2 linked regions of the Arabidopsis thaliana genome follow. The protein of the gene in region 1 interacts with the protein of each later gene in a pairwise test. Each region holds a gene or a part of one and is shown in the gene's direction. Other genes may lie near its edges. The genes, in order: AT5G58990 and ESC.

What was found.
Region 2: the proteins of AT5G58990 (region 1) and ESC interact in a two-hybrid assay, tested with the Arabidopsis thaliana proteins (one large-scale study listed by BioGRID).

What each region holds. Positions count from the first base shown.
Region 1 is NC_003076.8:23,807,693-23,824,419, forward strand, and holds AT5G58990 (28S ribosomal S34 protein), read left to right. Parts: upstream 1-7,070; 5' UTR 7,071-7,335; coding exon 7,336-7,617; intron 7,618-7,756; coding exon 7,757-7,799; intron 7,800-8,005; coding exon 8,006-8,127; 3' UTR 8,128-8,498; downstream 8,499-16,727. Other genes in the region: GIL1 (glucose-6-phosphate isomerase, putative (DUF641)), read left to right, coding at 1-668; UCP2 (uncoupling protein 2), read right to left, coding at 950-988, 1,099-1,185, 1,270-1,344, 1,847-1,951, 2,054-2,152, 2,241-2,374, 2,472-2,550, 2,658-2,876 and 1 more; AT5G58980 (Neutral/alkaline non-lysosomal ceramidase), read right to left, coding at 3,757-4,311, 4,399-4,559, 4,650-4,713, 4,804-4,929, 5,007-5,277, 5,421-5,685, 5,768-5,866, 5,952-6,092 and 1 more; AT5G59000 (RING/FYVE/PHD zinc finger superfamily protein), read left to right, coding at 11,076-11,548, 12,104-12,326; BSK5 (kinase with tetratricopeptide repeat domain-containing protein), read right to left, coding at 12,886-13,134, 13,223-13,336, 13,443-13,607, 13,701-13,889, 14,008-14,093, 14,200-14,305, 14,433-14,566, 14,771-14,906 and 2 more.
Region 2 is NC_003070.9:7,259,680-7,276,308, forward strand, and holds ESC (Putative AT-hook DNA-binding family protein), read left to right. Parts: upstream 1-12,876; 5' UTR 12,877-13,344; coding exon 13,345-14,280; 3' UTR 14,281-14,393; downstream 14,394-16,629. Other genes in the region: AT1G20870 (HSP20-like chaperones superfamily protein), read right to left, coding at 1-1,096; AT1G20875 (uncharacterized protein), read left to right, coding at 1,802-2,002; AT1G20880 (RNA-binding (RRM/RBD/RNP motifs) family protein), read right to left, coding at 3,200-3,502, 3,606-3,648, 4,192-4,318, 4,461-4,605, 4,949-5,155; AT1G20890 (caveolin-1 protein), read right to left, coding at 6,409-6,551, 6,663-6,753, 6,834-6,965, 7,058-7,196, 7,293-7,381.

The sequences.
Region 1 (16,727 bases):
GATCCATTGAAGCCGCTTCAGCTTCATCCGACGGAATGTCTGCTTCTTCGTTTGCATCCTCGGTTCAGTCATCTGTCCCGAACCAGCACGCGAAGTTTGCTCTTGAGTCTTACATCTGTAGGAAAATCTTCCAAGGATTTGATCACGAAACGTTTTACATGGATGGAAGCTTATCTTCTCTTATCAACCCGGATCAGTACCGTCGTGACTGCTTTGCGCAGTTCAAAGATATGAAAGCAATGGATCCTATGGAGTTGCTAGGGATCTTACCAACTTGCCATTTTGGTAAATTCTGCTCGAAGAAGTACCTTTCGATCATTCACCAAAAAATGGAAGAGTCGTTGTTCGGGGACTCGGAACAGCGGGAGTTGGTTGTAGCCGGTAACCACCCAAGAAGTCAGTTCTATGGAGAGTTCTTGGGGCTAGCTAAAGCAGTCTGGCTGCTTCATCTCCTGGCATTCTCGCTCGACCCATCCCCGAGTCACTTTGAAGCAAACAGAGGAGCCGAGTTTCACTCTCAGTACATGGAGAGTGTCGTGAGGTTTTCGGATGGCCGTGTTCCTGCGGGTCAAGTTGTTGGATTTCCTGTTTGTCCAGGATTCAAGCTTAGCCATCAAGGGAAAGGATCAATCATCAAATCCAGAGTTTACTTGGTTCCAAGGGCTTAAAAAGGTTTCTTTGAGTTCACTGTTTCTTAGGAATACATTATGTCCTCGTGTGTTGTTTAAGACTTTAAGACAATCTAGCTTCGGAAAAATCTTGAAATAAAGAGACCGTTCGTATAAACTGTTCTTGCAAAGAATTTTTTTTTGGATAAAATGTTTCTATACTAATCTAAATAACAAAGCTCACATAACATAGAAAGTATATATGTTTTAATTCTAACAATTCAAAGTTTTATAGAAGGGATTATGTAATAAGGTATGGTTTTCGACTAGGGATCTGAGAATCAATCGTACAAGACTTCTCTTAGAAACACTTTTTTCACCTGTCACAGAGTGAAGATGAAACAGAGAGAAAAATGTTAAAAAAAGAAGAGCAATCCAAAATTAATCATCATCGAAAAGTAAATGAGAATGAGAGAAGAATCTAATTTACTTGTTCTAATGTGAGGAACATAATGGCATTCCAGGTTCCTAGCCGTGTAAAATTCGGGAGAAATCCTTTGTAGAATGCCATAATCCCCTTTAAATAGACCAAAAACAGAACATTCATGATTGCATCAAAAGAGAGAGATTGGTTAAATGTGAACTAGAAAAGAATACTAACCTCGGTCTTCATCGTTTTGATGAAGCAATCGACTGTGTTTCGGTAAGTAGAGTCTCCCATCATTCTAGATTTCACCTGGAACAACATATAAAGAAGAACCATGGCCGTTTAGGGCAAATACCAAAGTATCAACCATTTTGTTTCCTTCGGTAACAGGTTAATACTAATTTCTCCTTCCGTAGAGCATTACTATCTAATAATGCTGCATTTACCAAAGTCAAATCACCAAGCAAGAGGTCAGAAACATAAAATGTGGAAGACACAAACATGTGAGACGCTACACCGATGTCACTTTCAAAGTAGAGCTATGTCCATTCTAATACCTTGTCCTTTAAAGAGATATTCTGTGATAAATACCTACTCTTTGCCACAAACCAATAAATAGAACTCAGTCAGTACTAAGTCTCTTTTGTTCGTTCTCAAAAAGAACAATGATTTAGGCACTTAGCACTTTCGTTTTCAGATCTATCACTTCTCACTGAAATTTATTGTAGATATACGCACTACCACACATGATGAGACGAAAACCAAATAATCTTGTTGTTGATTTATGTAAAAGACGAAAATGAATGCTTACCACATCAATTGGAGAACCGATGCAGACAGCGAAGAAGCCTGCAGCTAAACCAGCTAGTAGATGAGTTAAAACACTGTCTCTGAAGAACGGAATTTTCATAATTGTCTGCATATGTATGGAAGTATAAGAACAAACAAAGACTAAACAACCACCAGTAGAAGCCAAAAAAACTCCTACACAACAAAATACTTGAGAAAGAAATATCACCTCCTTTATTTGATCATAACTAGCTAACTCTGCAGCATTTACAATAGCATTCCGGGCAATATTGGGACCAAGTCCAGTCCATAGCGCACTAACTCCTTCCTATTTTATAAATCAAAAGGCTATAACACTCTGCTAACAAAGTATTTTAATATTTTTGATATTGTTATTTGAAGATTAGTTTACTAACCAGCTTCACAATGGTGAAATAAGCGTCTACAGCTCCTGCATAACGCCTAGGAACCCCAGCCGGTAACTTTCCTTCTGATTGAAGCCGAACTTTAACAAGATCAGTTGGATTAGCTACAATAATAGCTATAGCTCCTGTTGTGTCACACACAATAAAATAATTCCCTTTATAATCTCAATCATTCACTCAAGTTACTTCCAAGAGACTATCAAAATTAAGAACTGAGCTCACCAGTTAACAAAGCTGCAAGAATCTTTTGATATAAAGGAATATCGCCAATAAAGTCACTTCCAACCAAAAGTGTCTTCACCTATTCAGATATAGCAAAATAAACAATCCATCAGATATAACTTTATAAGAGAGTATAAAACACACACAAAAAAAAGCACCAGAGAAGGAAAATAATGTGAGACTCACAGGCTCATATAACCCAATCCTTAAGCCACCATAGATACATTGGCGATGAAGTCCTGCAATAACACCTTTCCAAAGACCTGAAATACCTTCTTCTCTAGCTATGGTAGCTAGAGTACCAATTGATCCTCTATACTTGGGCAAATTCTCACCATCTCCAGTGGGAATCTTTCTTTGAAGCTGAAGTCTAACTTTGGCTGTGTCCAACGGTATAGTACATAACTACAACATCACTCATAAACCATGAATTAGAATTTGACTAAAGACTAATACAACAAACACATAACACACGAAAACTCAAATTTCGTAAACACTAAATCTATAGAGTCTATGTAAGCTCATTTCAATAAGTATCACAAAAAATCACAAGTAATGGACTTTAAAGTCGTAGACTAGACCATCATAGATTAGCTTCTAAAGCTCAATTTCGAAGATTCAGTAGAATAACGGTAAATCTAAGATAGCATTTCTCTGGATTGTTCACCAGTGACAGTGATTGATCGAATTTAAGAATATTGACAGACTCAAATGAAAAATGAACAAAAACCCAAAAGAGGAATAATAATCTCATCTCGCACTAAAGAGAGATACCTCAGCAAAACAAGCAGCGAAAGCGCTGCAAATGAAGGTTTCAAGGAACGAAATCTCGATCCTTGGTTTGAAATCCGCCATTGTTATGCTATAGGAACAAGATAAGCGAAATCTGGAGAAGCACCGATTAGGCAAAATGCAAAAACAAAAAAAGGCTAAAATTTGAGAAGTTGCTCCAGTTTCTCTCTAACAGCGATGATGATTGATGTAATCTTAAAATGGGTTTCTCAATGATTATAGTTTTTAGGAGTAGTAATGAAGAAAAGTGAGATCGAGATTTAATAATGGCGTAACGAATTCAGAACAAGTACAGAGTCTCTCTCAATCTTTTGTGTGTTACTATTTTCACTATAAAAGTTTCTCTCTGTTTTTGTTGTAACTAAACACGTCATTAGATAGACCCTCTTCCTCCACTGGAAGGTTATGTACACAAACTGTTTTTCGCACACACAAGGTTATTTACTGGATGGTGTTGCTAGGGATACGTATAAAGACTATTCACGTGTACATTTCAATATACAACAAAGGCACTAGATGAACCAGAGAAATGGTGAATGGAGCTTATAGGAGTTTTAGCTGAACCAAAGTGAGTGATTCTATAAACACCAGGTGATGCGGTTTCAGGGATTCTCCATTCGATAGTTGCTGTGCTCTGCGTGCTGAGTTTAAACGGTCTTGACCACTTAAACCGGAGGCAAAAGTCATCATCATCATAAACAGGTACCCATGTCTCTCTTCCTTCGAGCCACCTCTCAACAAGCGCGAAAGTTCCTTCCGTCATCAGATCGTTTCTCGGGTTAGCTGACCGGAATTGAACCCTCACTATGTCAGCTCCCTTCCTGAATTTGGATAACCGAGGAACATCCGATGTAACATCTCCGAATGCAGTTCCAATTGGTGTCATATCCGCAACAACAGGTGTTAGTAAGCTTATTTGCTTGTGAAGTAAGTCAGGTGGTTGGGGACCCGGGTCAGTGGTTTGAGCAGATAGAAGATCATTTGCTAGTTTCTTGAATTCTTGAATGTATCCGCTTAGCGTGTGAGGTCCATACAAAGTCGATGCACCCTGAGGGAAAGAATAAACAGAGTTGGTTTAAGAGCAGGAAATCAAGAAAGATCCTACAAGCTCTTCCTTCTTATCTAAGCCTCTGACCTCATATCTCTGAACTTGGTATTCCTCAAATGTGGCAATATACTGCGAATACGAATTGGTTAGCCCGGCTATTACCACGCTGAATTCTCTTCCATTGCTGCCTTCTTTAAGCACTGTTTTCACGGCATCACGTAGTCGCCTCCCTGCCATTGTTGTGAATTCTTGCAAGCAGAACAATAGAGAAAGGAAATTACTAATGTTCTACATCAGTTTAGAAATGATTTTTTTTGTTCTGGGGGAGACCGGAATACCTCCGGGGACGCAGAGAATCACTAGCTGGCCAATGCGGAGGATCTGAACTGGTAATATCGACGGCTGAAAATGGATTAAGAAACAGTTTTTCCATCACAAATAGCTAAGTGGGATTCAATTTTTATCCATCACAGTACAAGATTATGCTCTCACCGCCCAGTCGTATGGTTGTTTCATTTCACCGGTATCAAGCAATATGGGTTTAGGTCGTTGGCATCGTACTTGTTCCTCAGTTGGATTCTTGAGAAGGTTCCTTACAAGCCTCCAGAAAGGATTTCCCTTACACAAAGTCACAACATAAAGTATAGTACTAAACATCTTTCATTACCAAGTTAGAAGGAGAATTTGGGTTTTACCTGATCATCTCCTTGTTTAAAGTCAAATGCTCCAGGTCCATCAGTTGTTCCTGCAGCGAAACCAAAACCCATTGCAGCTGGACATGTTTTCACCACTTCGGAACCTCCATTTTGTCCATTAATCGTCACTTCAAGCTGAGAGAAATCAACATATGCATGACGATAGTCAACTTTTCCTTGTATCTCCTCAGAGGCTTTAGTGAAAAGATCCGCAGCCTTCTTGAACTGCCTCTCTCCAATAATGCGGGTACTCTCAAATTCATCAGGGTAGCTGAAACATTTAGTCATGCCAAGTTATACATCTAACAAGCTTGACTCTCTAAATACCATATTGTACTAAGAGAGAACATAATTTTCTGTGATTGGTTTCCGCATTGCTGAAAGTAAAAGTGTGCAGTTAGGAATAAGACGTACCCTGGTCCACGGCCGTAGCATTGCTCATTCTTTCCACCACAAGTACTTTGGTTGAATTCACAAGGAAGGCCTGTGTCTATACAGAAGGCTCCCAACACATTCGGACTAACATCACCGCAGTTAGTTTGACAGAAGGCAGAGACAAATCTAGGTTTGTCAGCGTGTCTAAATCTACTTCTGACCCGTCTAGCAACGCTTGACATCCTTGTAACGGTTTTACCGCCGGTAGACAGTAACGAGGATGCCATTTCCATCAAATCTTGATCTGCAATAAAAGCAACAAAAAGTTAGTTTTACAATAACAAGCCATTACTAAAACTCTTGGAGCTATGGTTATTTACGCTCACCATAAGGATCACTGATTATGCTTGAGACTCTTCTAGGAGATTCAACATCAACTGATCTACAACCGTTTTCTCGTTCAAACCAGTCTTCCATGATACGTGCTGCAGTGCCTTTATTGTCCCCGCTGATTCAAGGCATTTGTACGGCTCATCGAAGTGCCATGAGTTGCAAACCAATTGAAACTACCCACTGGACCCCATTGATCATCAACGAATTTGACAAGTGTCATCTCTTTATCTACATCATATTCATATTTACTACGTTCATGTGCCGGATTGTTAAGGTAAGCACTGGGACTACGGTTCACACCAGCATCCAAGAGCTCCCCTGCAAGCTCAGCTCCAAAAGAAATGTCTTTAGAGAAAGCAACATATAAAATGAATCATAAAAAAAGTGTCCCACAAGCTAAATCACTCACCTTTGTTGATTAAAATGGACCCGGGACGAAGATTTTCATGAGCTTGTATAATACTTTGCTCTATACCGTCCACAAGAGCATTGAAAGATTGATGAACAAACCCGAGAGATGTAACTAAGTACAAAATGTATTGGAGATAACCCCCTGGACCAGCATGAGTATGAGTTCCACTAATTGCAACATTTTCCTCCGTATAAAGCTCACCGTACCTCTGTTTCAATCTTTCAATCACTTTGATGGTCACAAGCTGTGAGGCCATACCAGCATCAAGATTAACAAAAGCAATCCTTTTCTTGTATGGCTCAGCCACGATGAACGCACGAGCTCTGAGCCTGAAGTGAACACCAGATGCTACTTGTTCCATGTTAGCATAACCCATCATGTTAACATCAGCTGCAGGTCCTGTGATGTCATAGCTTCCAAGACCCATCAAATAATCGGAATCTGAGAATATACAAGTGAGCCTCAACAGAAATAGCAAGAACAATGTGCAGTGCATAGACATAGACCACCTCGTCATCTTCACACTCAATATGGAGTAATCAACTCTTTCTCATTTCTAGTCCTTCCTAGAGAATAATACAAACGTAAGCAACATAAACAAACACACATATTTCATGAATCTAAAATTATTAAACCCAAAATATTATCCAACCTGAAGAAGAAGTAACGCAATCCTTAATGATTTTAGCTGATGAACACACTAACCATTTGCTGGAGCTGATAGAAACTAATTGATGTGAACGATGTGAAGCAAAACAAAAGAAGATGAGAGAAACTCAAATAGACAAATACTCAATAAAGTTTCGTTTTTTTTTCTGGTAACAACGATAATAGTATGTAAGTAAGAGTAAAGTGTGAGGAAAGTTCTTATTTTTAAGGTTGCGGAGAAAGAAAGCTACCCAATTTCAGCTGTTTTAGCGTATCTGTCCTTCTCAATTCGGTTTTCACTTCTTATTCGATTTCTAATTTTCAAAGTTTGGATTTTTGGGGTAAAGTTAGTTAAAATGCATACATAACGGGGGTAGAATGTAATTTATAAAATTGTATTGGGTCTGTTTGTGAATAAACCAAAACTTGTGGTTCTTCTCTGTCTCAACCTCAGTCGCCGATCTTCAACAGTGGCTGAAACAATAGAGAGAGAGCGATACAATGGCGATGACACTTATGAACAGAGCAATCTCTAGAACCGAAACTGTTGGTGCTTTCAGTCTCTCGCTTAGTCTCTTAAGAAATTTCTCTGCGGCGCCGTCGGCGGCATCTACTCCGGCGAGTGAAAACCCTAGCTCCGATTCGAATAAACCTAAACGAAGAAAGAAGAAAAACTTAATCGAAGTCGCTCAGTTCTTACCTAATTGGGGAATCGGATACCATATGGCTAAAGCTCACTGGAATGGAATCTCTTATGAAATCACTAAGATCAATCTCTATAAGGTTCTTCGTCTTCTTCTCTTTCATGTCTGGATTGAAAAGTTTCCATTTTTCGTAAGCTGAGATAATGTTTTTATTACCTAATCATTTGGGGTTTGATTATCTGACTTGGGTATTTGTTTGATTTTGGATTCAAATGCAGGATGGTAGACATGGAAAAGCTTGGGGAATTGTTCACAAAGATGGTGACTTTTTTTGTCATCATTTGCTTCGTATTGCTAAGTTTTTACGCCCATTGATGTCAAAGTTGGAGCTTTTTGTCATGTCTATGGAGTATAGGGTGAAATTATTAGGAGTAGCCATATCTGAAACTAGATAATCACCATTGCATTGGTGTTAAGGTTTATGCAGCTTTCATGAGAGTAACGTACATACATGGTCTCAAATGCAGGATTGCGAGCTGCGGAAGCTCCAAAGAAGATAAGCGGAGTTCACAAACGTTGTTGGAAGTATATCCCAAACCTGTCAAAGACTACTCCTGCAACAACCACTGCTGATGTTCAAGCTGCCTGATCTGTTTACTTCCATTGTTGTGGGTACTTCTTGATCTATCTGTTTGCGGTTTCTTTTTATTGGGAAGAAGATACAGTTGTTGTGACTTGATAGTTTCTTTGAATTCGTCGATAGCTTTGTAGGAAATGATCCATAATCTACGGATGATGACCGAGTATTCGTTTTTCTTGTTAAGACTTTACACTTCTTGAGTTATGATTTTGATGAGCCAGCATCCCTAAGCCTAGTGTTTAGCTACTATAAAGTTTGAACTTGTTTTGTAGGAGATCTGCTGGTTTTAAACATGTAATAAATGACCTCAACTACGATTGGCAGGTTTTAGTTTCTATCAAAATCCCAAATTTTCAATATTGAAAAGTCTCCTCTTCAGCACAGCATCTTTATTTCTTTGTTCAAATAATACATCTTTTGCAGTAAAAATCAACTTGAATACTTCTCCTGATATTGTATAGTGCCTGTTTATCGAATCATCAATGTTATGCAATGGAAGATAGTCTTGTTGGACCAGTTTTACATTTCTTCCAACCGTAGCGTAAAAATCTTGTTTGTATCCCTTTTTCCACAGACTCCAAAACCATCGTTTAGATTCACCTTTAATGAAAGCAGTTTTTGGTTGAACCAATCTTAGTCAAGTAACAGGAATCCGCATATGAACCAATCTAATATGATATATATATACAAGTCCGTGCTTTAATGGATATCTTCATGTAAGCAAAGATCTTCAAATTACCAAGTACATGAGATGGGTTTTATTCAATAACTTTGAGGTTAACAGAGAACCAATTTTAGAATCTTTTTCTTTCTTTCAGGACTCAGTTCAGTAGACTGTTTTGATTTGTAAAAAAAAGAAAGAAAACAGACTCTCTTGAATTTGACCAATCAATCTCCATTATTCTTTGGTTTAGAAGGGCCCTATTCTTTCAAATCCATGAAGCCCATCCCTCTTTAACTTTATATTTTGGCCCTGTTTATGCTTATCCAAGGAATTTTCTGTTTCCCTTCTGTCAATTTGTCAATCAATATACGGCTATCAATTTTTTGGTAGCGAGAAACAATTTGATCGAATAATATATGAATTGTCTTGAAAGTGTGGAAATATGATACATCGAATACATTCAAAAAACAACAGGTCTCAGTTAAAGAAGGTTGCTGTTTTATAGACCAAAATGACATTATAAGCTACACACTTTTGACCCAAAAAAAGAAAAACAAAAGCTACACTGTTCCTTGATAACCAAACAAAAAATGATTTAAGAAAATTATGAAATTAGCAAAAACTTTTTATATGTTTTGTCAACAATCATGTTAATGTTTATACATAGGACCGAAAATAAAATAAATGTATTGTTAATGTAGCTGTAACTATATGGTAACTATATTGGACCCTATTTTAGAAGGTGTATATACATTTTTATATTATTACTACTTTTATACAAATACAGTAAGTAGTATAATCTAGTAAACTCAAATATGAAAGGAGAATTTCAAAGAGCTTGTTGGTGAAATAAACAGACTACAGTTTTTTTTTTGTCATAAACAGACTACAGTATTTTATTTTATTTTGTCAAACAAACAGACTACAGTATTTATAATCGAAAAAATAGGTACATTGATACTGTTAAGTTACTCAGCTTATATATGTAGATACAAAAGAAAACCATATGTAACTTCAAATTTAATAGAAAACAATTAAGAAAAAAACTACTACTGTTCTTAAGTACTGTTTAAAAATGAAAATAGCATTTCAAATTTGGGGTTCTTTTATTTGTTTTCTTTGGAACAATAATTATTAAAGAAACGGTGAGTTTCCTTCCAGCCAACATTGTTACATCCTGACACAGCCACTGACATTGACAGTGATTTTTATGTTTAGTTTCATCAATACCCTTAAACTTCTATACATTTTCATTTTGACACCTCATGTTTATATACTTTTCAACAAAACCCAACACTATTGATATATATGTTCACTGAATCACTGTTCAGAGTTCACACCAACCCACTTTTCAAAATCAGTTTAAGCTGACTTCATTAGGATATATTATCTTGTATAAATAATTAATATCTAAACACTCCAGGTAATGTACTAAGTGTAGAATGAAACTTTATAGAAGCAAATCTAATTTGTAGAAACAAAGTACTTTGTTTTTTCACGGTATGAGTAAAGTACTAAAAAATTTAGTTGTTAGGAAAAATAAAATCTAACTTATTAAAGAAATCAAGAAAAGTACTAAAATAAACGCTTTTTCGTCCTATTAATGTTATAACTTAAGCAACGTGGGTACACTTCATTAGTTCATTTTCACTAAATCTATAACTTCTTTTTCTTCAATTTTTGTTCTTAATTAATAATTAAAATGTTAGGAACTGTAATTAAATTGTGATAGTAAATAGATTAGCTTAAGGGACTTCAATAAGAAATATTTTTAATTAATACAGTATGAAATACAAAAAAAAAGTACAATCGATATATATATATATATATGAAAAATTAAGTGGAAATTCAATGTAGTAGAATCATGAGTTAAGAATCCGTACCACGGGATCTAACAATGTTAAAAAGCACCCACCTTGTTTTGAAATATCTTCCAAACTTGAGGGAGACAAAAAAAAAAAAAAAACAAGTAAAAACATTTGTCTTAAAAAAAAGAAGAAAAAAAGAAGAAGAAGATAATAATAAATAAAAAAGAACAGAACAGAAGCTGCTCTTTTGTCCAAAGCTTCTTCCTTTCTCTTTCTCCAACATTTCTTCTCTGCAAGTTAAAAACTTACTAAAATAAAAAATTCAATAAACCCTTGAAGACAAAATTAGCTTTTTTGTTTTTTTTTTATTTTAATTCTTTTTTGGTTATTTTTTTTTATGATTTTGTTTTTTGTTTTCCTCGTAAAACCCATGAGTGACCCCTTTGGTTCCTCTTTGCTTTAATCTTCAAGAAAGAAAGAAAAAAATGCCTTCTTTTGCTTTTGGATCTCATCACCATTTGGCGAATCCTACAGACTCGCCGCCGTACTCCGTCGAAATTAGCATCGACGGTGACTCCTCCGACTGGGATTCTTTGTCTCAGGTCGATTTAGAGTCCGGCGGTGTACCGGCGCCGGAGAAACAGCTACATTCCGGTGGTAAGAAGAGGAGAACTAGGAGGAGAAAGAGGAGGAAGAAGAAGAAGAAGAAGAAAGGTGGAAGAGATTGCAGGATCTGTCATCTTCCTTTAGAGACTAACAAAGAAGCTGAAGATGAAGATGAAGAAGAAGAAGATGATTCTGATGATGATGAAGATGAAGAAGATGAAGAAGAAGAAGAAGAAGAAGAAGAAGAAGAATATTATGGTTTGCCTTTGCAATTAGGTTGCTCTTGTAAAGGTGATTTGGGTGTTGCTCATAGTAAGTGTGCTGAGACTTGGTTTAAGATCAAAGGAAACATGTAAGTTTCTCTTCAAGACTACTTTTGTTTTTTTTCTGCAAAATTCTACAGATTCTGTGAGAACCAAAGTAGTAAAGAATGAAACTTTATAAGGAAAAAATGTATTTCCTTTTTATGTACTTTGAGTCTTTTTTCTTGTCTGAATTCTAGAGATCCATATCATTACTTCTTAGAAAGATTGTCTGCTGAAGCTGGAATCTACAGTTTTTGTTTTGTGGCCATCAATTGTTGTCTACTTGTGTCTCATGTTCTTATGTTCCTGCACATTTTTGGATATTTATTGTTTGTAGTCTCAATTAAAGCCAGTTTCTGTGATTTGCCTCAAAACATTCAGTTTCAAAGGCTTGATTTTGCAGCTGCATTGAGAGAATCTTGCAGTCCCTTTTGCTGAGAAAGTTTGATTTTTACCAATCAAGATTGTACTCATAGCTCTGTTTAGCTTCTGTTTCTGTGTCTTTGCATTTTCCTAGCTTCTTATATGTTTACAAGATGAAGCAAGTCCCCTAAGATTTTTACTGACTAGCATTTATCATATTGTTGTATGAATCTGAGCAGGACATGTGAGATATGCGGCGCAATGGCTCTAAACGTGGCTGGTGAACAATCTAATCCGGAGAGCACTGCTTCTACACATTCACAAGCAGCTGCGGGACAATCTCTAACTCAGACAGAGCCACGAGGAATCTGGCATGGTCGCCCTGTTATGAACTTCTTACTTGCTGCTATGGTCTTCGCCTTCGTTGTTTCTTGGCTTTTTCACTTCAAAGTCCTCAAGTGAAACGTTTTCCATCTCTCTCTCTCTCTCTCTCTCTCTTTCGCCCACCCGCACGAGCTCACTCTTCTCCTGTTCTTGAGCCGCTTGCAATCGCTGAATCAATCCCTCCTGTTGCTTGATTATTCACACGTTTTGTAGCTGTAAAAACTTGGTAGTGTTTAGATTGTTGTAACTTGTGAGATTTACATTTTGTATAATATTGTTCTCTGCTCCGGCTTCGTGAAATCTCTGTGTGGTCAGGAGGGTCTTAGCTCTTTTGGTTTCAGACACATGGCTTTGAAAACTGGTAATAGATAAAATACTGGACAATAGTTGTGTAGAATCTGTTTTTGTACTTCAAATGAAGAAAATTAGTTTGAACAAATCTCATATAAGGATCTTGGACTTAAATGAGAAAGATCCTTCTTTTCTTGATTCAAATGTGATTTGAATCATCTCTTCAAATTGGAAACCACAAATTTAAGATAATGCTTAAAGAAGACAGAGACAATGAGGCTTTCTCAGAATCCAATCACAAAACGAAGAAGGCGGAAGAGAGAAGAAACCTATACACTTGAAGTTTTCAGTTTCTGTTGTTATGTTTCTTGGCTTCCAAGGAAGTTCCATCTTTTAGGGTTTCACAGGCGTCTTTATCCATTCCAAGGCTGAAGAGAGCAGCGGCCTGAAGATAGAAAGCCGTTGGCCATTCAGGAGACACTACTTGCGCCTGCATTGCATCACCAAGAGCCTCTTGAGGCATATTGCTCATCAGATAACACAAACACCTCCTTGCAAAAACTGTTGGCGATACCATTGTGCCATCTTCGATGAACTGCAGATACAATAAGACGGATTGAGTCGAGTTCCAGGGGAATTATGTTTCTGGGTTTCAAGAAAGTAACCCACTTTCTGTTTCTTACCTGCGTGTAACATTCAACAGCAGTGACAAAGTCTTTGCCTTTGAACGCAGCATCTCCTTGTTTCTTGGAGTTTAGAGTCTCCTGAATCTGGTCGGTCCACACTTGGAACGAGAGCTGTGTTGCAAATAAAACAGGAACCTCAGGTAAGACTAAAGAAGCTCTAGACTTGAAGGTCATTGACCTCATAGAAGATGAAGAAGCTTCTTGTTCATGTACATACCTCATTTGCTACACCCTCGTCATCTTTGTATCCAACCTTTTCGAGAATTTCATGTATTGCTGTGAGATCATGTCGTGAACAAGCGTCACCAAGAGGGGTAAGCGAAGTTGTTTCCTTTGGAGAAGCAGCTCCATGTGGAATCCCCATTAAAACATGAGACGGAATCTGAAGAAAACAACAGAGATGTAGAATAAGACGAGGAGCTAGAATACTTGAATGGTTGATACATGAAAGGAAGGTGATTTAGTGAGTGCATACATCAGTTTCTTTCTGAAGAGGAGCGAGTGAGGACACGAGAGATTTCACATTTGGCCTTTCACGAGCTTCATACTGCAAACAACGGGAAGCTAAACGAACCAAATCGGTTCCATCATCGTTTGAGAAATGGCCATCTAGACACGAGTCCATCAGCATCAGGAAATTCTTCCCACGAATCAGATCAAGCGCCTGCAGAACAATGGTAGAGCATACAGAACTTTATCAACATTTTCTGGGATAAGGAGAAGAAGCTAAAAGATCAAGAACTTCCTCCCAAGAGAAGTTGAGCCATGTTTGGTGCACTTACATGGCTTGGTGGTATGTGTTTGCCGCTGAGAAGATCTAGCAACAGCGTTCCGAAGCTGTAGACCACACTCTCCGGAATCACTCTCCCTTAAGAGATTAATAAACGCACATCCATATATCAGATCAATATCATAACTTTGTCAAACAGCAAACACATAACTTGACGCCATTGCATCTCAAATCAGTAACTGACCTGTTCTTAGGTATTCAGGAGGTGTGAAAGCCAAATTTGTACTGTAACTCTTCCCATCCCTACTATTCTTCATAAGACCAAAGCAAGATAATCTCGGGTTACCATCCTGTAATCAAGTTTTCCAGAAAAACATTATAAGAATCCCAGAACAGTAACTTATACGAAAAGTGAAACATAAATCCAATCAAGAGCAAGAAAGAGATAAGAGAGTTAATAGTAAGCTCGAGATGGACCTGGTCAAACAAGATCCTGTAAGCATTAAGATCGTGGTACAAGGCGCGACCTTTGCTGCTACAATACTCAAGTGCTTGTGCAAGATACAAAGCCACTCTCAACCTCATAGACCACTTCATTGGCTGACTATCCCCTACATATCATCACAAATTATTAAGTTCCACCAATCATTTGCATTTAAAGTGTTAATCTTTTGTTCAACAAGATAGAACCAAAAACAGAAATTACCAACAAAATCTCCTAAACAATGTGTTAGAACTAAAAACTAAAAGGCGTAGAGAATCAAACCAAAAAAGTAAACAGTTGCCAATCTCTTAAAGATGATGAGAAGCCTTACAGTGAAAGAGATGCTTCGAGAGAGTTTCAAAAGGCATAAACTCAGCAACGAGCAATCTCTCGTCTCCTTCACAACAGAATCCAATCAAATTCGCCAACCTCTCATTCCTCAACTGCCCCACAGCTTTTGCTTCTTCCTAAAGATCAATCAAACCAAACAGTAAACACCACCAAATGCAACAGGGGTTTTAAATTGAACTGTACGAGAACCCATCAACGGAAATGAGTAAAGGAATCAAATTTATGAGAGTTCGTACAAGAAATTGACGAGTATCAGGCCAAGCGGATCTATTGAATCGTTTAACAGCGATCCATCGGTCATCTTCAAGTCTGCCTTTATACACAACATTAGGAGCTTTAACACCATGTTCGGAGACAATACTGTCTGTAGAGAATCCACAAGTAGCAGCTCGTAGTTGGTCGAAACTAAACTCCGTAAACGACGGCAAATCGTCCGTTCCGTTATCTATCAGAACAAAAAACAAAAAACTCAAACTTTGTTAGCAGAGAGAGTGTGAAAGGTAGAGACTTTAAGTGAAGAAGAAGTTGTTATCACCTAGATCAGAAGCTTCGTTGTGAGTTGATTTGAGATGGGTCGGCCACCAACAGAGAGAGAGCTTAGAGCAACGAGGTCCCATTTTGGGGTTTTGAAAGATTTAAGGAAGATTGAAAGATTTTTCTTAGCTAAACCCGAAAAGCAAAAACCCTTTTTTTTTTCTGGTGAGTCACTTTCTAAAGAGAAGCCAAGAGAGAAAGAGAAAAAAAAAGAAGTTTTTTTTGTTCTCGAGGAGAAAGGAATCTGCGGAAAAAAATGAAAGGAGAAAAATTTATATATAGCGCACGTAGTGGGGAAGACACAGACACAGTCACAGTGGTGAATCATTGAAAAACGTTAAACTTCTTTCTTCAACAATAATAAGTGTTTTTACTTGTTGTGGATCCAATGTTTCTCTTTCTCTCTCGCTTTTTCACTTTGTTTTTTTTTTTCATTAAATATCTAACGTTTATACATTCTGATAACGTTAAAACAGTATTTTTGTTCAATTAGTAGTACATTCAAATCTCACTTTCCAAATGACCAAAACTATATAGATAATAATTACAAAATTAATATGTATATTTTAACAATATTTTTTTCTTATTTACGATGGACACTTCTAACTTCTGTAGTATTTAGAAGAACAATAAACCATACAATTATGTACGATATCATATCCGCAATCGGTTAAGAAAACATTTTGGAAAGCTTGCAAAATCAGTTGTATGAAAATTTTAAGAATGTTTTAGAATGGTGTAGGAATGTTTATAATTTTTATTTTTTAATTGGTCTTTTTGAAAGATAACAGAAAAATAGTGTTTTAGAGTAACTTTAAAATAACACCAAATAGACAACCTTGACTAACTCTGAAACATCCGGTTAAGATATGAAAGGTAAAAATAAAATAATAATGCGAAATTACTACATTAGGGGTAAAATCGTAAACTGAGTGGTCAAAGGGTCAAAGCTATGTGTGCATGCGTGTGGGTGTGAATATTAAAAACAAAGTGGCAGTGGTAGTAATAGTTTAGGAGAAGTTGCATTTAGTGTTCTCTCCATTTAATCTAATCTAGTTTTTCTTTGTTAAAGCATATCTAATCTAGTTTTTCTTCACATATTTAACTCATATTGCCAAAAGATTTTGCCTAAACTACAGATATTATTCAACAAAGCGATAACTTTGATTTGATAAAAGACTGTTATACAGTTTCACTTTTTTATGTACTTTATATTATATGAGCATTTGAAGTTTTGAACCCATAAGCGAAGAACTTTCCAGCTAAAATGACGCAGACCGGTGACCCAATATAGCGAAAGAGGTCCATGAAGCATTTTATATGCGAGTCAAAAGCTTTTGCGGAGTATCATATACGTATTACACCGCAAAGCTCATAAAGTTAAAATCTTTACGAAGCTTTCT
Region 2 (16,629 bases), on another chromosome or scaffold:
TGTTGACACCAATGTCAACAACACCAACAGATGATCCTAGAGTTTCTTTACTGGCTGTTCCAGTAGTTACAACCGACGGTTCTGCATCGCTTTCCTTCATCTCCGAAGAAAAAGGTATAGGCTTATCTGTTTTTTCTCTTTCCATAAGAGTTTCACCATTCTTGTTTGTTGCCTTTTTTGATGAGTTCTTGAACCGTCTTCTCTTGTATGTCTCACGAAATCTTTCAGGGGTTTTACTCGTTCCACTAACAGCATGACCAGTAACTGCTTCTTCTTCCTTGTTCTTTCGCTTGCATGTTTCTGGAAGCTTTACAAATGAATAGTAGTCTTGGTCAGAGACAATTCCACTGAATGCAGATTCTCCGTTTCTTGAACAGTCCTGCTTCATTCCCTGGCTTTCTGGTATGTCTCCCGAAAGTCTTTCTGGTTCACTGATTACGCAACTAGCAACCGCGTCTTCCCCTTCCTTTCTCTTGCACGTTTCTTGAAGCTCACCAGATGAATTGTAGTCCTCGTTAGTGACAACTCCATTAGCTGTCGCATCACCATTTCTTGAACAGTCCTGCTCAGTTTCCCGGCTTTCATCCAGATTAACCCGAGGAGATAAAGACGTGACTCTATCGATTTTCAGGTCGTCCAAACGCGACAAGCATCTGAACCTTTGGAGTTCTTCCTTGTTTATGAACCCTACTGCAGGATCATCAATAACAACAATTCCTTTCACAATCTCGTGGCTCGGGGAATACCTTTTCTGCGGGTGAAGATTCGTCGGGAAAAAATGCGTGAACTGAGGAAACTTTCCACTTGGTTCCAATGGTAGATATCCCTTGAGATACATATAAATCATGTCTGGATGAAGAAGGAGGCTGGACTTGGCGTTTCTGAGTACATTATAGTACAAGTTCTGTAGCTGGGAAACAGTTAGAGAGGAAGATCCAATGTGCATCAAAGTGTAAGGTGGCAAACCTCTAGCTAATCTTTGAGAAGATGAACATCTTGGGTTATCAGAATAGACATCAGGACCCAAGTAGTTGCTCATGATGAAATTAACCAAGAAATACTGATCACTCGATAATCCGTCGCTATACAGACTCATATCTTCGATATCAATGAACCTGCATTACATATGAAAGTGGCAACATTGTCACAAATGGAAGCAATAAGGACATTCCAAAAACATAGTTACAGGACATAATTAAGTGTCTCAAATTTGCCAATTTAGTCATAGCATTGAAAATCTCCATCATTTTAGTCCCTAGATCTCTTAAGTTTAACCCTTTTCTAACAATGACTTTAGTCTCCATAATGTTTTGCCTTATCATTACTAAGGAGAAAACATCTTCAAATTAAACCCTAAAAACTTCACTTATTAACAGCAAAATCTACATTTGAAAAGACTATGTTGATATTTTGAGAAAGATTAGTAACTCTGCTTCATATATACTCTTCACAATACAAAAAAAAAAAAAAAACCAATTTTTACCCAGAAAATATCGCAATCCAACAATTTTTCACTAGTTAGCTCAAAGTCAACAATTTTCCTTAAATCTAAAGGTTACTACGCTTGAATACGAACCAGTTTGTACTTTTTACAGCAAAAATCGATCCCACATTGTTCCCACCACAGAAGATAAATAGGGATTATGCAATTTCAACCTTACAAGTCCAGCGATTGTGAAAATTCAAGCAACATTCATGGAGAAAAAACGAGAAGAAATTCGAAGCTTAAGCATGACAGAAAATTCTCAGTGGCAGATTTTACCTTTTTTAATTTCGTCGTGATGTTTTTGGGTTGAGGAGGATGATGGAGGTGAAGAGAAGAGAGATTTCTCTGCGAGAAAGAAATGTTTGGTGTAAGGAGAAAAATGCAAAAGAGGATGGGGGTCCTTTGCTTGCTACACGTGGCTACCACGTGGGTCCCGCAAATAACCGCATTTGGAGGTATCACTTGTCACCTGGCTCACCACGTGCCGTCTTGTTGAAGCACTTTTGGGCCTTTTAAAAAGTATAAGGCCCAAATGTTTTGTATGTCTTATTCTCATTGATAAAGCTTATTCTTTTAAACGAGAGGAAGTTGTAGGAAAATGGGAACATTAATCTTGTTTGTGCTGACTAAACTATCTCTAAATCAGTTTTCTCGGACATCAAAACATCATTACTATGCCACTACCTCATTATGTAATCCTTTTAATTATGTGTTGATCAATTTTTACTTTGATGGATCAAAGAAGGAAACGTAATTACATCCACCCCCAAAAATTGGACTCTTTAAAAATGGTTTAAATGACGATGAATTTAACTAAAAACTCGAATCTATCATCTTGAAAGCAAGTGGTAAACGAAGTGATAAATGGAGTATAAACAGAGGAATCAGAGTAGAAGATAGGAGTCATAGACAGAAACAATTGAGAAGAACAATTTATCAGTCTAGAAACTGTACAGACATAGAAAAGAGAAGAATCCTGGAGCTAAAATTTATGCACAGACAAAGAAGCTGAAGTGAGCTCCATAGTCATTAATTTTTTACTTACAATGCAGAGGACTTGACTCAAGAGGACGTGAGAATCTACCTAGTAATATTACCAACACTCATATGCCTTAAGAGAGTGTGTAGTAAGAAGACTACTTTTACCACCCAAAAGAATCAGATGTTGATTCCACCATTCTATATGCATTTATGTATGTGTTTATATATATATGAACTTTCTTTGTACACCAAACTTATTCCTACCAGTTTACCGCGAAAACCCTTGTTTCCGGGGTGAAACTATTCATATAGTTTATGCCATCAAGCTTGTTGTGGGCTATATACATAGGATGAGAGGGTTAAAGATAACAGAAGCACAAACCCTGAAACTTCCATTCTCCTTTCCCCCTTTTTTGACTTCTTCAGTGAGCAAGACTACTTAATACCTGTAACGACGGTAATGAGGTGAGATCGAAAACATTTGCAAGTACTGAAACTTAAAAGGGCACCTAAGGAAACAAGCTTACCTCTAGAATGCGAAAATAAATAATGTGCTAAGCTTAAACAGGAAGCCTGCCAGAGTAGCATTTGTCCTGGACTTCTTCCCTTTTCTGCAATCTTTAAGGATTACTAACTGAAAACCGATAAATAACAATGAGGTCGTGTAAGTGTGTACGAACTTCAATCCAATTTGGACCATCAAAAAAGAATCCAAGAATTTGCTTACGTTGATCACCCTGTTGTCTGATCAGAACCGCTACTCTGTATATACTGAGGAGGAGTCTGGACGATGACACGTTGGTGCGTTGGAGCTGAAGGAGAAGGGTATGGAGATTGAATAGCAGACATAGGTGAAGTGGCACCAAGCTGTAGAACATGACTTCCTGGATGTGAATAACCTTGACCCGCTGTATAACCGTGAGCACCAGGAATAGTATGGCTCAGTTGCCCATATTGATAACCCGGTGAGTTAACTGCCCCAGGTACTCCATAAACCTGAAGGTACTGTTGACCCATGTAAGGACCATAGAAACCCTACAACACCATGAAGAGAAGACATGAGTTTATAACTAAAGCCACAACAGTTTAAAATGCATAAAGAAGGTAAGAAGGAACTGCAATAATTTCAAGCGCCTACCTGAGACTGTGAGTACATGTAGTCAGGTCCATATGGTGTAACCCTGAGAGAACCCCAAAAAGCACAGCTAATATTAGAGACAGGTGAGTAAAGTTTTGGCTAAACACTCTTTAAGAAAAGAAGAGTAACACTTATACAAAACAGCTAGAATATGTTATGCTACGAAAGAAAGATGCTAAGCTAGGGGGGAAAAACCTAAGTCCACTCCAAAATGTCCATTCCAAAAATCTAGGTAATTTTGCCCTATCAAAGTCCAAAAACATTCATGACCTTGCCTGTCCAAAACAAATTGAGCTCGGCCACATATCCTCTGCAATTATATTTTTGTATTCCTGCAAGTTACCAATCACAACATGTCACATGATAGTGCTACACTCAAGAACCCTAAGTGGCAGAAGATACAACCCCTAACGCAATAGAATCTCTAGATGATTGTCCATGATGTGATTGGTAAATGCCACTTGATCAAAGTGACTGAAGGACTAGCATGTAGAACATTAGAACTGATACACTCATCAAAGCTTGTCTGTTATAGCAGATTTACAATAGCAACGAAATGTTCTGAGCTTCAAATTGCATAACTCACCCATAAGGGTACACCACTCCTTGTTGGTAGTTATAAGTAGGGGGTTGGTGATACGGATGGCTTCCAAAATGCAAACCGCGAGGACTCTGCACACTTCCAACATATGGGGAAGGAGGTCTTACCCGTCCTAACCAAATAAAAGAAGCAATGCAGTGATTCAAGGTTAACACGGTCATAATCCTTGAAAAATTGAATACTTCACCAAAATTATAAAGGTCTCTGTATGTAATGCGAAGAAAAGAATAGATGAATACTGAAGTAAGACTGACCAGGAGCATGGGGTATCACTGCATATTGCATTGGAGGCCTAGATCTCCCAAGAGAAGCGAGATTACAATTCGCTCGTCTGCCATCTATAATAGGTGTTGGATCGACACAGGCTCTCCTAGCAGCCTCTGGATCTCGGAAAGTCACCTAAATCCTCCATACAAATCATAAACATAGCGGTAAGTCATTCTACAATCATGAACATAAACCAACAGATACATCAGAACAAACAAATGAAAGAGACTCCTCTAATTAGCAAAGATAGACAAAAGTTTCATCAAAACACGTATTTTCGAATTCAACTTCTTTGAGTTTATTCAAAGAACTAGAAATCATAAGTCAAGCAGATCATTCACCAATCTAAAGCAACATTTAGTACCCAATAATCTATAAGCATACCATGGAAGCAGAGAATGTTTATTACAAGCAGTATAATAAACCAACTTCAGATATTAGAAACCAAAGCATGAACAAAAAGTAGGATACTCACAAAGCCATAACCTTTGGATCGACCAGTGTTCTTATCAGTAATAACGACAGCCTCAAGGATATCACCATATTGATCGAAATGCCGACGAAGAGTCTCGCTTTGAGTCTCCCAGGCAAGGCCACCAACAAAGACTTTAGTAAAGGTTGTGTCACCAAAAGGAGAATTCAAGTAATGAAACCCAGAGCTCGGAATCGAATGATACGCCATGGATTAGAACCAAAGACGGAAACTTTGATGAAGTATGGATAGAGACAGATCCTAAGACTTGACCCGGTAAACCCTAGAGATAGATTGAATGATTAAACCTGAAGATGAAGAAACAGAACATATAAATTTGAAAAGAGGAGATTCTAGGGTTTACAAGGGCCTTCGAAGAGAAGAGGGTGAGAAACAGAAAAAGTGAGATCGGCCCCAAAGAAACCTAATAAAGGATCATACTTGACAAGTAATGATCATGACGAGAGAAACAAAAAATAGAGAGAGAGAGAGAAAATTTCCCGGGAAAAAAACAGAAAAATGAAAAGAAGTTAGGGGAAAAGGGGTTTAAAACTTTGAAAGATGTGCCACGGAAGAAGAGAAGACTCGGTTCCGGTAGGTACACAAGAATGATTCTAGGGTTGCTCAATTGGTAGAACAACAGAAAACGAGAGAGACGAATTCGAATCAAGCGTTGGGGAAAATGGGGAGGAGAGAAAGAGGGATGATTTTGAGTGGTTTTAGGGATTTAGATAGAAAAATACAAGGGGACAAGGAAGGATTTGTTTATGGAAGTTTTAACATTCATGATGATGGTGAAGAAGTTGGTGATGACGAAGACGATGATGCGTGATTATGATTCATAAATTCTTCGAGAGAGAGAGAAAACAAAAGGAGTTGTTCTTCACCCTGGGTCCCACTCGAAATCATCTAGTAATTATGATTAACGCTGTAATTAATTAGAACACAAATTGTGGTTTTGTCCGAATCCTAGTTTGGTTCTTTTATTATCACAGTTGGTTGGAGTTATTTTAGCGGATTACTGCCGGGAAATTAACGGTTATTTCATACATTATATGAACAAAAAAAAATTCATTTATTTATTAAAAATATGTGTAACCTCTTTGCTTTTAATTAATTACTCCCTATTCCCAAAAGATAATACGGTGTACTTTAGAGTTATTCATCTTGTGGAATGTTGTTTGTTGGATTGAAATTCAAACGGATAAGCGTTACTTAACTATATACGATCAAACCATACAAGTTCAGAATAGGACTTCCCGCGTCTGAAAAACATGAAATCAATCTAACACATGTAGACTTATATACTCTTCTTTGAGTGCGGTGTGGTAAGGTAAGGTATATGAATGAGGCAGTGGACATGTAAGAACTAAAAACCATACAAAATTAGATGAACAAACATCAAAATGCGAACAGAGTAACAAAACAAAGAGGTGAGGAAACTGTATTAACCATGCTTCTTCTTAACGATCACGATCTACATCTTTGATCAGAAGATAAGATGGGAGGAACCGGGGAAGAATCAACGCGACAACGAGACACAAAACTACTAAAACCACCACTGACCAGCTTGAGTGAGGGATGCCTAAGAGCTGTTCTTCACAAACTGTCAACATGAGAGTTTTCAGACTCTAGAAGAAGCACTACACTTAATACAAGTTCTTATGTTGTGAAAAGAAGAAGATTGATGAGATAGTAAGTAGAAAAAAAAGCTTGCCTATGTTGTAAATGATGGACGGTCTTTCTTTAACATTTGGTATAGCCACGATTCCTTCAGGTTCCACCGTCACCAAAACATACAATCCCTCCTAAATCAGAAACAAACTCCTAAACTTGTATTCGTTCTTCTTTCTAAGTTTTAGGAACTAACTGAAGAAGATGGCAATACCTTGTTATCAACTTCTTCAATACTTTCTGTTTTGAAGATCAACTTCTCAGTGTTTAGTAATCTCCTCATATGGTTAACCTTCAAACCCATTACACCGTTCTTCAGTAATTGCAGCGAAAATAGAGCCGGTATCTGTTATCATAACAAAAAAGGATGAGATTTTTAACAAGCACAAGAACCTTGGAAACATAAGAACATAGAACAAGATAACAAATTTGACATACAGAAGCTGGGTATGATATCTTGACTTCATACCAAGAGTTCGACTTAAGCCCTTGTAATTTGTAAACTCGAGATCCAGATTTCAATGGCAGTGTCTCTTTCCAAAGTTCCTTCCCAGCATATAAAGTTTTTCCACCAAACCTAAGAGAAACCTGATAACATCATTTCTACAGTACCAATAAAAGAATCCAAATTGATGAGTTTGGGGATAATGTGAGGTTTTTCAACAACACTTACAGTCTCTCATCGCTATAACAAGTCACAAAATTTATGAAGACGATAAGACAGATGAGCAAGTAGCATTCTTTATAGCGTAAATCGATCATCCTACGAGTTCTGTATCAATCCCTAAAGAAGAAAACGATTTTTGTCAATTTGATGAATCGGTTAAAGTATCAGCTTCATGTTAAGCAATCTCTGCAATATTTTCTCTCAGCAACGGAATACGAAAATACCAGAAGTTATAAAACGCGCGAAATCGAATTGACTTACCAGAGATCAGTCTCTCGCCGGAGATGACAGTTTCTATGCGACAATTGGATCGGCGAATACGATTCCGGCGACTTCGGAGAAAGACTCAAAATCGTTGTCGACGATCGCTAGCGTGAGACTTGGGCCTTTGATTAATAATGTACTGATATATTGATTGGGCTAATTTGAGGCCCAATTTAATATACTTGGCTTGTAGACAAAGTGAAAATATAAGCGGATCATGACCCGTCCACGTCACTCTTGCGAAAATCAGGACATAAACTGTACACGTGGTCAGATCTCCACGTCGAGATATCTACGTGGCGAGTTCTAAGGATATTTTGTCCTGTCTTTTTGTGGGGTCCATTTATGGGCCCAAAGGCCTTCGACACTAACTCAGAAAGTCCAAAATAGTAAGGTAAACATGTGGGCTCCTTTATAAACCAAATTGGCAATTTGCCCATGTTGCTTCCTTCCTACTAAATAGTTAAATTCTATTCAATATATCACCTTTATTTTTGGTTTTTAGATTATTATACGTCAATAAAATCACCTTTTAATGTTTACTATATACAAATTATAATATTTAATCCAACAATATTTTCTAACACCTTTTAGTTTGATAGGTTTTCTCCACAAATTGACTAGAAAAAAACAATAAATAGGCATTTAGTTTTGAAAAGACACTTGGTTTTGTTTTATTCTCCGGCTTTTTATTATTATAAAATAATTTAAAAATTGGTGGATGGGGTGGTGGTAGATCACAAGTCGCCAAAGATGTGAGAATGGGATTGGGCATTATCGAAAAAGTTGACCCGTAATTTCTGATTGATCACACTACTTTTGAGTTTGTTTATAAAAAAAAATATAGTGGAGAGTCTGGAGACCACTGATAATAAATTGATTTTTACTAGTTCCTGTAAAAACTTGTGACTTGTGAGCATCATTACGTAGGTAAAAAATATTATTATACACATATTATTTTTATAGTAACATAGGTATATTTGGGAAACCAAGGTCTCCAGGTTGATAGGAGCAATAAAATACTGGTTTCAATTCATACTATTAGAGTTGTCTATGTAGAATCAAATGTCAAGTCAAAGTCGTAAGAGTTATTTATAAATATATATACTATACCTTCATATATAGCTTAATAATATATAGAGAAATAGAAGAGATGGCCACAAAACGCTATGATTAAGGATATGACCATGTAATTATTGATCTGTAGAACAAATTTACAGTCCATTATATTGTTAGATAAATAGATTGATGAATACTTAGTTAGGTTCACGTATTTTATTTAGGTTTGAATCCAAATGATAACATAGTGATAATGTTATCACAAACCATTAATCATATCATGGTACTTAGATTCTCATATTTATTTTTCGAGTAATGTAGATTTATTATCATACGACATACAATACGCAATACTGTAGGTCAATGGAATCAAATCGTTTTTTTTAAGATATAAAAATAATTTATTTATTTTTTACCAAAACAAATGAGGCACAATTTTAAGATTTAATATAGAAAAAATAGAAAAGAATATCAGGGGCGTTTTCATCTATCCACTTTATCAGAAGATCATTGCCAAATATTTTAACTAAAGCAATTTAATTTACTCTAATAATGTGCAACTCATCGTTACGTATTTCTTCTTGTACAAAGCTAACATGCGGGGCATGTTAGATTCCGTGCGACAAACTAAAAAGTATGATTTGATTGATAATTTGATATAAAGAGCTCGATTAGACTTGTTGATTGTTTTCTTATCTAAGGATTTTATGCATCCATATATTCATTATCAACTATGAACTATCAATGAATAATATTTCCAAAGTATGATATTTAGTAAATTAAATTCTGAATTCCTGATAGAAGGGGGAAAGTCTTCACCCGATTGATGTTCGAGTTTTTGGAGAAAATATAATCAAACTTAGCTGAGTTAGAAACTCGTTATAATACATGTTCTTTACTTGGTTTAAAAAAAGCCACGAATTGATAAATCAATACTTTTTAACTAACGTACATAAAATTAATGAGAACTGAGAGTTCAAGACTAGCTAGATTTTTTTTTTCATTTTATATACAGCGAACTCATTGCTTACACTTTCAAAACTATAAAAACAAAATTTAAAGGTGCTGTAGAGAATAGAATCGCTATGTAAGTATAAACTTTAAGGATGGCATTAATATCTTATATACATCTGGCTCGTGGTATTTTGATTGATGAGAAAAGAAAGCAAAAAAAACAAAAGAACATAAATATAGAAGTTAAATTAGCATACTGATTGATGGGTACGGTATCCCTAAATCATCACAATTTTTTGCCCATATTATTTATTGTTAAAGAGGGTATGATATTTAGTCTCACGACCTTTACTTTTTGTTTGATGTTTTTTTTTCTAGATATAAAGAGCCAGCATTTTATTCACCAGTTGTTGGATTTCCCTAAAAGAGATACCCTTTCGTGATCGCATGAGAGCAGACTGGGGAGATACATATATGGAGTAGGGGCGTAGGCTGAAGAAGCAATAGCTAGCCACAATAAAAAGAAGAACAATAACAGCTACAAGATCATCAAGGGATCAATTATGAACCGAAACCAAATTGATATTCTTTAGTGCCTCCGAACCTCACATATCTACTGCATCCTTACGAGATATTTTGGTCGTTGGGAAAAAAAAAAAATATATATATGTTTTGATCAGTTTACGTGTTTGTCGGAACAATTTAGAACTGCTTTTATTCCATGTTTGGTAAATATATAAACTCTTATGGATACCAAGAACTTAACTTAGTTTTCTCTAATGAGTTCTCTAACATTGAATTCCACGCGACAGTAACTGGACGTCTGAATTCATTAATACATATATAATCTTTAATTAATGTGAGAGAAATGTGTTCATGATCTAGACGAGTAGCGACAGCGTCATAAGAACTTAGGTACAGTCACATATTTATAGACTTGGATGACGTGTAGTTCTCTCTCTTTATGGCTTAAAATTAAATTATATATCACATGAAACACCTCTCACTTTTCTGTTTTGGGGGCAAATAAAACATATCTCACTTATTTTCGAAGTATCTTGATAGTTCCACACATTCCGTTTTCGATCGATAGAAAAAAATTGGACCAGTTTATGATTAAAATACCGCACACAAAAGACTTCACGTACGTTTTTGCTTTTAAGCATTAGAAATACGGGCAAAAGACGCGAAAGTAAGTTAGATAGATTCGGGAGGAGTACTGTGATTGGATAAGGTATTGACCAAGTACCGATGATCCGACCGCCTCCACGTGGTCACACAGCTTGGCTTTCACTTTCATGCTCTGACCTTTTGACCGCACGTGACTTTTGTCTGTGCACGTGCGGACCAAGCTAACGTGTCCGGTTCAAGTACATTGCACCGAGCCCTGACTCGCCAGGTTACGCCGATGAAAACGACGGTTCCTGGGTCCCACATGCCATGAGGATGGACGGTTCCGATCCACTTCCTACTTTCCTACTGAGATTGGTCCCACCATGGTTCAGGCCACATGCGTCCACGTTGAGGGAGCTTAGGTGTTACTATATGGGTGCAGTTAAAAATTAAGACAACCAGTCACGGTCCGATATGAGGTCATGCATTAATGGGTCGGATCGAGTTTAGTCAGTTCAATAAATTAAGATGAATAAGTCAATAATTATTTGAATGGGTTGATGCAATTGGTAAGTGTTTTCAGGATTATCGTTTGTTTCCCAAACAATTTTTGTAAATTAAAAGTTTGATATCATTTGTATGAAGATGATATATCAAAAAAAAATTTTACTAATACATTACTCATTCTAAATCAATAAATTATCAGTGTCTAGTTGTCTTTTTCTGGTATATTTTTTTGTCCATGTTAGAAAAAGCGTAGTTCTAATTAGTGATTCACCAAATTCGACATAAGGCAACAAAGTGGAGTACTTATCAATAATTTTTGAAAATATAAAGTAGTAGTATCAACTAATTTGACATTTTGATAATTATCAGCTAGTCTTATCACATTAATGGATCATTAACTTTCTCCAAACTTATCATCAAAAAGGGTCCACTCCGTTTTACGATATTTAAAGGAGTATACATGGGTAGATCTCACTATCTCAGTATAGAACAAAGGACCATTACCTAGATTGATTGTTCTACGTTATGCGCCTTATGCCCTCTTGACAATAAAAGTGAATATAAAGTACTTTAGTAGAACATTGATTCTTTGATATATAATTAGCTCGGGTTTAGCAAGATAATTTAGTAGCAACCAAAAAAAAAAAAAAACACATCACAAGCAGAATTAATCAATTGTTGTTCTGCAGCGCTTAAAAGTGACTAATTCTCTTCTTCTTTTTCTATAGTAAAGATGGTTCGTATCCGTTTGTTTATTATAGAACGTGGGTTCTTCTTAGAATATTGTATTCGCAAGCCATATACTATATATCTATTTTAAATTATTATACATTATATTTTTACAAAATTAGTTGACAAAACTAATAATAATACTATACATGTAAATTTTTTTTCTTTTCTTCTTCTATATAACTCACGTTCTGCATCCAGTTTGAATATGAATAATAACATATATCAGCAGCACTATGCAAATCACAAGCCTACAAATATCTAGTAATAATGCAAGTTTATACTAAGTTTTACAATAAAAAGATGCGTAAGTAAATTAAAATTCTAAATAAAATGACCTATAGTAGTATTTTCTCAAGTAAGAGAAGACTAAATAGTACTATTTCTCATTTTTACTTATACGAAAACCTTTTAATTAAGTTACTAAAACCATAAATAAGTTAGTAACATGATAATAACATTTATCAAATAACTTTTGTTTAAACATAACCTCCACGCGCCTTAAAGGGAATGTAGGATTCGTTTTAATCCTTGTGTACCCAACTTCCACTTGACATTTTTTTTTTTTTTTTTTTTTTGTTAAATGATACGTTTTCTTTAGCTCGTATATAATAGTATCTGATAAACAAATTGACCAAATGTTATCTCTTCTGTTAATCTTATCTCATGCTTTCAAATATAAGAATTCCTTCTCTAAATTTCTTTTGTATTATCCGATTGGAGCCAAACAAAAACTGCGACGAACCCCTAGTTTTCTTTGGTAGATCTTATGTAAGGATAACCACTTACACACATAAATTTTTTTGTCGGCATTTGTGTATATGTAATAAATAGTATTAATTTACTTAAAAAAGAACATATTATTCAAATAATAATTATTATATTAATGATATAATAAAGGGGACTGTTTCTCCGCTAAATTCTCGGTGTATGTCTTTGCTTTTACTTTCCTCGTTCAATGAGAGGACCAAAAATTTATTGCAGAGTCGCACATGAATCTCAAGCTTCTCTCTCCTTTTTTTCCCATAGCACATCAGAATCGCTAAATACGACTCCTATGCAAAGAAGAAGCTACTTCTTTCTCTTGCCCTAATTAATCTACCTAACTAGGGTTTCCTCTTACCTTTCATGAGAGAGATCATTTAACATAAGTCACCTTTTTTATATCTTTTGCTTCGTCTTTAATTTAGTTCTGTTCTTGGTCTGTTTCTATATTTTGTCGGCTTGCGTAACCGATCACACCTTAATGCTTTAGCTATTGTTTCCTCAAAATCATGAGTTTTGACTTCTCGATCTGAGTTTTCTTTTTCTCTCTTTACGCTCTTCTTCACCTAGCTACCAATATATGAACGAGCAGGATCAAGAATCGAGAAATTGATTTGAGCTGGCGAATAAGCAGTGGTGGGATAGGGAATTAGTAGATGCGGCGGCGATGGAAGGCGGTTACGAGCAAGGCGGTGGAGCTTCTAGATACTTCCATAACCTCTTTAGACCGGAGATTCACCACCAACAGCTTCAACCGCAGGGCGGGATCAATCTTATCGACCAGCATCATCATCAGCACCAGCAACATCAACAACAACAACAACCGTCGGATGATTCAAGAGAATCTGACCATTCAAACAAAGATCATCATCAACAGGGTCGACCCGATTCAGACCCGAATACATCAAGCTCAGCACCGGGAAAACGTCCACGTGGACGTCCACCAGGATCTAAGAACAAAGCCAAGCCACCGATCATAGTAACTCGTGATAGCCCCAACGCGCTTAGATCTCACGTTCTTGAAGTATCTCCTGGAGCTGACATAGTTGAGAGTGTTTCCACGTACGCTAGGAGGAGAGGGAGAGGCGTCTCCGTTTTAGGAGGAAACGGCACCGTATCTAACGTCACTCTCCGTCAGCCAGTCACTCCTGGAAATGGCGGTGGTGTGTCCGGAGGAGGAGGAGTTGTGACTTTACATGGAAGGTTTGAGATTCTTTCGCTAACGGGGACTGTTTTGCCACCTCCTGCACCGCCTGGTGCCGGTGGTTTGTCTATATTTTTAGCCGGAGGGCAAGGTCAGGTGGTCGGAGGAAGCGTTGTGGCTCCCCTTATTGCATCAGCTCCGGTTATACTAATGGCGGCTTCGTTCTCAAATGCGGTTTTCGAGAGACTACCGATTGAGGAGGAGGAAGAAGAAGGTGGTGGTGGCGGAGGAGGAGGAGGAGGAGGGCCACCGCAGATGCAACAAGCTCCATCAGCATCTCCGCCGTCTGGAGTGACCGGTCAGGGACAGTTAGGAGGTAATGTGGGTGGTTATGGGTTTTCTGGTGATCCTCATTTGCTTGGATGGGGAGCTGGAACACCTTCAAGACCACCTTTTTAATTGAATTTTAATGTCCGGAAATTTATGTGTTTTTATCATCTTGTGGAGTCGTCTTTCCTTTGGGATATTTGGTGTTTAATGTTTAGTTGATATGCATATTTTGGTTTCTCGTGTTTATTTCTTTTCTTCTCATATCTTCGGTAGATGTTACATGTTAGAGAAATGCATGTGTCTCGTTATGTTAGAAAATTCCTTTCCATATATGGCTTTCTTTTATTCATAGCTAGGGTTTCGTGTTGTACCCTATAACTATTATTATAATTAGCTCGATTTGATAGATATATAGGTCTAGACTATTCAATAATGAGTTCGTTTGTTCTTTTAAGAATTTTGAGCTTCACGGCGTATTCTTGATGAAATATTATGTGGGCACATCTCAGGCGCTCATTTGAATATTTTTACAATACGTCAATACGTTACCTTAATCATAGTATAATATAGTTCTTTCAACTTTTTAACAACCTCAATGTAGTATTCATTATAAGGTTAGAAAATTATTATACATATTGATCAATATATACGTTTTGTGCATCTAAATTCATTATTCGTACCATTTGAGTACTTGTAGCGTCTTTTAGCCGAGTATACCTTTTAAGATCACAACTTCTGTGTCATATCTATCTATCTATACGGTGTTATTGTGTTAAGAGTACTGTCATATATACCCATCTATATATAAGGTGTTAAGAATATGCTTACATATTGATCAAAACGTGCATCGTTCTAAATTTTGTAGTTAACCACTTGCCTGATTAGAACGTCTTTTTAGCCGTTTGTACTTACAGTTGAAAATTCCATTGATTGGTGTAATTGGCTATTTAATTACGACAGGGCCGTCTAAGCGATCTCGAGTCTTACCATCTAGGAAAACAACATGGGCAATTTTTAAACTATTTAGCGTTCATACAGTTTCTAGTGTTTTAAAAATACTACATGTATACCTAGTGGCCATGTTATGACCTTTTTCATTCGATCACTACAGTTACTTAATTACATGCATAAAATATGCATTAATGCTTCAGTTAATTAACCGTCGATCCTGTAAAATAGTTGTATCCAACATTATTCAAAGACAGGTTGGCAACAAGTACGTAGCTTTAAGCTAATATTTATAGGTCACATATGCACAGTACCATTTATGTTATAATCGTAGTTTTTGGTTTGAGATTTCCAACCCCTTAATTTTGGCTGGTATGGAGAATTTGTCTCAACTCTCAACCAACACTTCAAATACATATTCTGCTCTTTCTCAATCTATATATATTTCTGTCCCAACAATTTAAATATATATATGGAATATGGTTTTATACCGGTTTATATATTACTATTTTCGTGTTTCTTCGTCACTACAAAATATGAGTTTTTATATATATATATATATATATTGATAAAAAGAACGAGTAAATGATATTGGGGATACTTGTCTAACTAGAGAGATAAAGAGTGAAATTCTATATTCTGCTAAAACTAATCATATTCGTTAAATAGAATGGAATCATTATCTAACATCCCACTGAAAAGTAAACAAATTCATTCATAGAAGAATATGCTTCTGCTATTATGCAAAATATATAACGAGGGGATTACTTTTATTTATTTCATATCTCATACTACATCTTTATTATTTTCCATTTATTCATCTAATCTTTAACCATTTTTAGAGCATAGTATTGTTTTTTGGGATTTTAGTCAATGTATATTGGTTAAAGACAACCGTTACAGAGCACAGTAGAAACATGAAGTAGAGATTATCTCACGTACGTCGGTTACATACAAATTAGTGAACTTAACATGGTAAGATTAACAATGAACATAAATCATTTGTAGTGTCAGTTAAGAGCTAGTCTCTGTCACAACATAACAAAAAATGGGGTTTTGATTACCAAGATATGTGAAAAAGAGGAATGTTCCAATTCCCTAGGGACATATTTATTGACTAGGAACAAAAGGAAGCTTAAGCAAGTAGTAATATTTTTTTATTTTTCATGAGAAAGTTTTAAAGTTATTTAAATGATACCAACATACTAAAACGAATTATAGTTAACTACTTTCAGGTAGCTTTGTTACGCCTATTCAGCTATAGGTGCAATATGGGCATATGGCAATACATAGTTGGGGTTGTAAAGCTACTAAAATTTTGATGAATATGTTATAACTTAGATGTATGATTATTATTGATTGAATTAGTTCTAACTATTTTAGGATGATTTGTTTTTTTTTTACAACTGATATCATGGAACAAATTGCAGATTAATTTCACAAGTCACAATCTACAGTTCTTAGCTAAATATTATAGTGATCAGATGTCTCTTAGTAAAAAACGTTTTAGCTTTGCCAAAATATATAAAA